Arabidopsis thaliana: one gene and its partner. The protein of the gene in region 2 interacts with the protein of the main gene of each other region in a pairwise test. Each region holds a gene or a part of one and is shown on either strand. Other genes may lie near its edges.

Region 1 (3,754 bases), on a different chromosome or scaffold from region 2:
AGGTTGAGCCGACCAGCTCGTGTCAAACACAGTAAAAAAACTTATAAGAAAAGAGAAGTTGCATATATATATATACATGGGGAGTGTCAAGAAACTGTCTTTGTTCCCTCCAGACTAAACTTGAAGAACATCAACATAACAGACAAGATACTATCCAGCAAATAAATCTAAGACTGTGCCTTTTCATCACTCTGGAACATAAAAATCGAACCTGACATCGACAGAACCATCACGGGTATCTTTGTATTCCACGTTGGTTATGGTTCCAGCCTCGTCCACGTCTTGGTACTCTGGTTTCACCCTTCTAACAGGCACCGTGACCGAGTAAATGGTCCCAAGGTCACCGTCCGTGGAAACATTTAGCTGAACTTTTTCCTCTGATTCTATCTCTACGAAATCCGACAGTGCATGGATAATGTTGTTGACGATTTTCCTTTTAGCTTCGTCACTAACATCACACCTGTCGGAGAAGAGGATCATCTTGAGCCGCTGCTTTGCAATTCTTGCGTTGGAGCTTCTTCTTGATGCGTGAGATGGGAATATTATCTTCCAAGCCAAGTTTAACCTGTCAAAGAAACCCATGTTGATGGCATTATAGAGAAAGCTCTCTATCTCTTGCTCTGCTGGGCTTGGTGATAGTTCATAGTCTCCGGTGTTCCTTGCAAGAACCTTCACCTGACCTCGTGTGTTTTCGCGGCTGATCGCCAGTCCAGGAGTACATTTCTGAGTTTCCAAACTGTTTACGCCATTGCTTATGAATCCCGTGAAATCAACCTGCAAATTTACATCCATCACCCGCAAAAAGGGACTGTAATTTCAGACTAGTTGCATTTTGAGAACTCAGTAATTGTTATCGTACATCTATAGGTAAAGCAACTATAACATCAAAGCTGACCTAAACGTATATGTTTTCTAACAAAGTAGCAAAACATCAGGTCATAAACACCACAAACATCTGCATATATCTAACAGAAGACCGGTCTAGTCTACGTAATCCAAGGCACCACCACCATTGTTAAAAAGACTTAATATGAGCTACAAGCTTAAGAACATATTCACTCTCTTTGATCATCTATAGGTAAAGAAGCAACTGTAACATCAAAGCTCATCTTAAACTTAATGAAATGGTTTTGTAACAAAATTGCAACACATCAGGTCATAGCACCACAAACATCCGCACATATCTAACAGAAGACCGGTCCAGTCTCGCTCTCAGTAATCAAAGACACCACTTCCATACTATAAAGACTTAATATGAGCTACAAGATAAAGAAAATATCAAAACTACAAAAAAGGAGGATGGTCATGGAGATGGATTCGTTGGCTTTCCTAAAAACAAATATACTTAAGTTTTGTTACTAAAATCCTTCATTTCCAAGTGCCTAAGTAAAAACACAGAAACTGGAATGATAAACTTTCAGGAGCTCGCGATGAACAAGCAAATCTAGAGCTAGAGAGAAATTGTGAAATTGTTCCAATAAAAGACGCATTTCAGATTCTTCCTAAACCACACAGACATAGAAACGAAAGATCGAAGCTAGTAATCTAAGTTCTCCTAATTTGGTGGCGAATTTCACGAGCTCCAGATCCCAAATTGCAGCGAAGAGAAAATTTGAATCGTAGAGTAAGAATTATAAGAAAATCGGACCTTGGAAGAAGAAGAAGGTAATGAGAGGCGATTACGGTGGTGATGATGATAAGGAGATACTAAGGTCGCAGAGATCCTGAGAGTTCCAGAAGACATCGCCATTACCGAGAAACTTGAAATTGCTCGCCGGAGAAGTGAATCTTTTTCGTCTCAGTTAAAAGAGAAATGAGATTACGACGACTCTTCTTACAAAGTAAAAGGCTATCGAGCACTTTAAGAAACGCTGTCGTTTAAAGGCTTGAAACACAGCGTTTTAACAACTGCCTAACCGATGTCGTATCATCTATTTTAATATTAAACCAAAACAACAAAAAAAAACTACTTTGCAACTTTTGGTGTTTGAAGTTTAGAAATTAGAAGAATGACGACAATAGTACCAACTCATTCAAAGGTTTTCTATAACTCATTCAAAGGTTTTCTATAAGCAAAATGTAAGCTTTATAAAAAATCACATTATTGGTAAAGCTGTAGGCAACCACAAATAACTAATAAGTAGTTTTCAGATTTGATGGATTGTAATATTTGTTCTTTAAACTTCAATCTAACAAAATATCCGTAAAGATGACTATTTGCATTCTTGCTGTTTTATTAAAAATATGATCTTTTGACAAAAATATTTCAAGTTTTATAGATAAACCACGAATAAGTAGTTTTTAGATTTGAGAGATGTGCTTTTAGTCAAGTGGTTAAGTTCATTTGATTTCGTCTTTCTATCGAGGTTCGATTCCACTAAGTCGCGTTACCCTATATAGTAGAGTTTGACTATATATTGGACCTTCTAAAAAAATAGTATTTAAATTTGATGGATTATAAAATTATTTTTTAAAGTTTAATTTATAAGAAATCTGCAAAATTGACTATATGCGGGGTTATTGGTGTTTTATCAATAATTATGATCTTTTTGATAAACTTGTTCCAACTTTTACAAATAAATCGCATTGATCTCGGAAAAAAATTGAAACCCTAGAGAATTTTCCAATCCCATAACACTTGGTAAGGACTAGACATTCGTCATTCTTCTAAACTTCAAAAACCAAGGCTACAAGATTAGGGCTTTTCTAACTTAACATTTTTCCAAGATAGGGTTTTAGGTTTTTGTTTTGGCTTAATATGAAAATGCTACAAGAGGGTTTTAAACTTTTTGAAACAAGTTTATTAAACGAACCGCTGTCGTTTTAGTTAATTAAACAAAAAACACAGTCGTTTTGAAACAAGTAAAACGATCATTTGATTAGGGGACTGTGGTCACCGGCGGCGAGAACCAAGGCTTCTTCGTAACCAAATATCTTTCGATATCAAAAGACAATCTCTCCAAAATACAAATTGACTAATATAATAAGTCGAGAGATTCTGGTGCAGAGGACAAAAAATTTCAATTTTGATTTCATTGAATGGGTAAATGGAGAGCAGTAGCTGCTCTTCTTCTTCGTAATCAATTACTCAATTCTTCAAAAAGACTAAACCTTTCTTCTTCTCCATGTGTTTCGAAACACCCAACGATTGGTTTAGCTTCTCGCTTTCTCAATTTCCGACACTTTTCAGCGTTCCCTTCTCCGATTTCGATTTACAACAATGACTCTGATTCTGGGTCGAATGATGCATATCAAAACTATGAATTTGGAACAGAGGCAGAGGAAGCACTAGGCAAAATCCCTATCAAAGCCTATTTTCTCAGTACTAGGTATGTACATCTTTGGTATTGGGACTCACTAGTGAAAGTTTTGAATTTGGAATCTTTACAGTTTGAAAGTTGAAGTCTGTTATGTGTTTTTCATTTATAATTTGGTTTCTCAGAACTATGGTTTTGGCAGTATTGATTTGAAGGCAATGCAAGCTGAGAACTTATGCAATGTTGTTCCTCCTACTTCACGTTCTACTAATTATATTGCCCTCAAATTTTCGGATTTTACCCCTTCTGGAATCTATGTAAGTTTTATTCAGAAACAGTTTAGCTATGTTTACTTATCTGTTGATTATTGAGTATAATGCAAATGGCATGCCTTTGGTTACCTTATCTTTGTTACCTTTCTTCAGAGTTTGGACGAGAGGGAGAGTGTAAGCAACTGCAAGTTCATGGTTGTCTTTCAATATGGTTCTGCTATTCTT
Region 2 (3,754 bases):
AGGGGTTATCACTGTATAAATAGCATCAGAATTATGATACGCGATCATGTTGGTTCTACTATCAGCTAAGCCCTCTAAGAGCTTCAGTATCACATAATCATTTCTATTTCGGGAACTTAATCGACACCGCCATATCGATAAATCAAGAAGGTAGAGAATCAAATGGCATAATACCAAGCTAGACAGCACTAGTACTCAAGCCTACATAGTACAAAAGGGCCAGCAAAATCATCACCAAACCAGTAGCTACCGAATTCATACTCGCGAAAAGTTCTGATAAGATCAGCTAAGCTATTGAAGTTCTCATCATAACGATTTGACATAAGAACTTGAGATATATTGGAAACTCTCAATTTTAACATAAACAGATTACAGAAACAGAAATCAAGAACCTCAAGAACAAAAGGCATAAGAATCAGAGCTTGAACTCAGCAACAAACTAGCAGTAGAATTCCACATTGTCCTAGGAACAAATCTAAATTCTCAAAGCAAAAGAGACAAAATCTTCAAAAATCTCTAGCTCCTGTACAAAAGATTTCAATGCATACATACCCGAGGAAGAAGTTTCAGTTCAGTTCAGTACCGTTCGGTTCGGTTCGATCCGTTTGCCATTTAGCCGCCAAAGAAAGAGAAGAAGCCACGTTTCTTAGGTTCTTCCTCCACCATAACAGCCTTCATACTATCTTGCTCAACGAGTCTCCAAGCCGCCTGCTCAAACGCCAATCCCGCAAGCGTAGGAGGCTTATTCAGAACAAGCGGAAACCCTCGATTCGTGCTTCGAATAACCTCAGAATCTTCAGGAATTACACCAAGCAATGACAATCCCAACATCTCCTGCACATCTAACACTGACATCATATCCTCTCCTTTAATCATATCAGTTCTCACTCTGTTCACAATCATCTTTATATCTCTGATTCCATCGCATTCTAACAAACCCGTAACCCTATCAGCATCCCTTAACGCTGTTATATCCGGAGTTGTTACCAGAACTGCTTCATTCGCCGGAGTAATGGCGGTTATGAATCCGGCATCGATTCCTGCAGGACAATCGATGATGATGAAATCCGGTGAACCTTCCGGTCTAGTTTTCAACGCATCCACAAGCCATTCCAATGCTTTACCACCAAATCCCATCGGAAGTTTCGATCTAGGTTTAGATATACATAGCAATTCGAAATTCGACCAACGCTTATCACGTACCAGAGCTTGATCGAGACGACAATCTCCGTTTATAACCTCGACGCAAGTGTAATTGACTCGATTCTCTAACCCTAGGAGGAGATCGAGGTTACGGAGACCAAGGTCGGCGTCAATGGCGACAACTGAGAAACCGTAACGAGCGAGAGAGAGACCGACATTTGCGGTGGTTGTCGTCTTTCCAACACCGCCTTTTCCGGAGGTGATAACGACGATACGCGGCGTTTCTCCGGCGAGTTCCGGTTTGCGATTAAATTGAAGAACGGATCGTATTGGACTCCGTCTGCTAGGGTTATTGACGAATCTTGGTGAAGATATTAGAGTCTTTTGTGAGAGAGATGATGGAAGGAGAAGAGATTGATGATTCGTTGAGAACAATCTCAGAGACGCCATTGATAGTGCTGCTGCTTCTTCAGCTGTCTCCACAGAGACAGAAATGTTTCTGAGCGTTGTGGCTTCACAGGGTTTACGGTTTATCAAGAACTTTTGAGATTCCGGTTTTTAATTTCTCCACTCTTAACCGGTTTAATATTTAACCAAATAATGTACTGGTTTTAACGGTTTATGATTCATCCATATCAAATGAACAATCATAGCTCTACAAGTTACAGAAACCAAACAAAATTATACCAAACACGAACCGAATCTGAGATACCGGTACACCGCTTTGGTTTCCCGGTTTAGGTATTGTACTCTATGACTATGATAAATACTTGCTCTATATAGCAATGACTTTAATTTATCTCCCAGCGTTGGTCATTAGCTGAGAGAACACTTGGGTGCTACTGATTATGCCTGAAGTTCCATCTCCATAGTCTCTCTCTATGTTCGAGCCATTAGACAGACCTTGCCGAGCCGTTCTCGGGTCGGTAACATCTCCATAATCTTCTTCAGGAATGTTCAATGGTCCGGATTCTTGAAGCTGAAGCACATGTTCTAAGTTCCATAGAACATCGCCAATTGTCGGTCTATCTACACCGTAATCCGCACAGCATTTCTCTGCGGTTTCAGCGAATTTCTTCAACGAGCACGGTTTGATTTCATCTGCGATATTCGGATCAACGATCTGATCAAGCATCCCTTTCCTTTGCCACTCTATTGCCCATTCTGCTAAATTTACTTGCTCCCTAACAAGCAACGGATCAACAGCGGGTCTAGCGCAAAGAACTTCAAAAAGAACAACACCAAATGAATAAACATCGGACTTATCCGTGAGCTGTTGTCTTCTGAAGTATTCAGGATCAAGATATCCAAAGCTTCCTTTTACACCGGTGCTCACATGTGTCTCATCAATACAAGGACCGGATCTTGAGAGTCCAAAGTCTGCAACTTTGGCTACATAGTTGTTATCTAGTAAGATATTGGTGGATTTGATATCCCGGTGGATGATTCCTTGCGAAGAACCGGTGTGAAGGTAATGAAGTCCTCTGGCTGCACCAATGCAGACCTCAAGCCGTTGTTTCCAAGATAAAGGCGGGTTGGTGGATCCGTATAAGTGACTTTTGAGTGGTCCTTTATCCATGTACTCATAAACAAGAATCATCTCAGACTGTTCTTCGCAATACCCAACAAGTGAAACTAGATGGCGATGACGGATCTTAGAGAGAATGGTTATCTCAGAGAGAAACTCTGGTAAGCCCTGTCTTGAACCAGGAGAGCCTCTCTTCACAGCTACTTTGGTGTTGTCTTTAAGAGACCCTCTAAAAACCATCCCGAATCCGCCAACTCCGATAACTAAACTTCTATCAAAGTTATTGGTTCCGGATTGTAACTCCGCGAACGAGATTCTCAGAGTATGGTAGCCACTAGAACTAACAGTTCTTTCAGTTGTTCTACTATTGGAACTGCCTCTAAACCTCCTCAAAGGTGTCCATCCCGTGCTCTCTGAACTCCTCGTCTTGTTGTTCTTGCGCCTGCACAAGCACAAAACGCTCAAGAAGAACAGCGACAAGAACACAAAACCTCCCAAAACCGAGCCAACCACGATCCAGACAACATTCCTCTTTCCAGATACCACTTCAGAACTCACAGGGCTCAAAATCCTCATGATCTCAACTCCATTCAATAGAGCATTAACTCTCGCCGGATTACTAAGATCAGACGGTCCAACACTAATCCTCAACATTCCAGAACGATCAGACTCCGCAACAAAATCAATGTACAACGGAGACGCAAGCACATGGAAAGTAAGCGTGGAGAGATCAACATCCTTAAACGCAAGATACTCATTGATAAAGACATTGAAATAGAGCTGATTAAGCGACGAACTAACGATATCGCAGAAATGCAAACGAACCAAATGAAGAACTCGTTTCTCATCAACCTGAAACCCCCAACTAATGTTAAACCTTGCCTGCAACTCCTGATTATCTCGATCCATCTCCTGAGCAGTCATATAAACATTATCCGGAGCAATCTCTCTCGTGGCACCACCGTTTTGATAATTCGGAGAATGAGTAGTCCAAGCACGTCTAGCAGCAGCTCTCAAGAGAAGATAGTTGTCATCAACAACCCAAGTCCTCCACAACGTATCATTAAACGGCGTCAATTTCGA

The links.
Region 1: the proteins of MIND (region 2) and MINE1 interact in binary tests that used the Arabidopsis thaliana proteins (3 or more experiments, as listed by UniProt).

The regions. Positions count from the first base shown.
Region 1 is NC_003070.9:26,082,717-26,086,470, reverse strand, and holds the start of MINE1 (homologue of bacterial MinE 1), read right to left. Parts: upstream 1,910-3,754; 5' UTR 1,751-1,909; coding exon 1,649-1,750; intron 775-1,648; coding exon 187-774; 3' UTR 1-186. Other genes in the region: RRG (sporulation protein (DUF155)), read left to right, coding at 3,040-3,329, 3,460-3,574, 3,683-3,754. UniProt on the Arabidopsis thaliana protein: Acts as a topological specificity factor during plastid division and specify plastid constriction sites (such as the Z-ring) in a MCD1-dependent manner. Especially involved in epidermal plastids division in a FTSZ1-dependent manner.
Region 2 is NC_003076.8:8,114,570-8,118,323, reverse strand, and holds MIND (septum site-determining protein (MIND)), read right to left. Parts: upstream 1,660-3,754; 5' UTR 1,594-1,659; coding exon 613-1,593; 3' UTR 237-612; downstream 1-236. Other genes in the region: AT5G24010 (Protein kinase superfamily protein), read right to left, coding at 1,940-3,754. UniProt on the Arabidopsis thaliana protein: Together with ARC3 and MCD1, regulates FtsZ ring positioning in chloroplasts in an ARC6-dependent manner. Calcium-dependent ATPase required for the correct placement of the plastid division site. Inhibits FtsZ filament and ring formation in the plastid.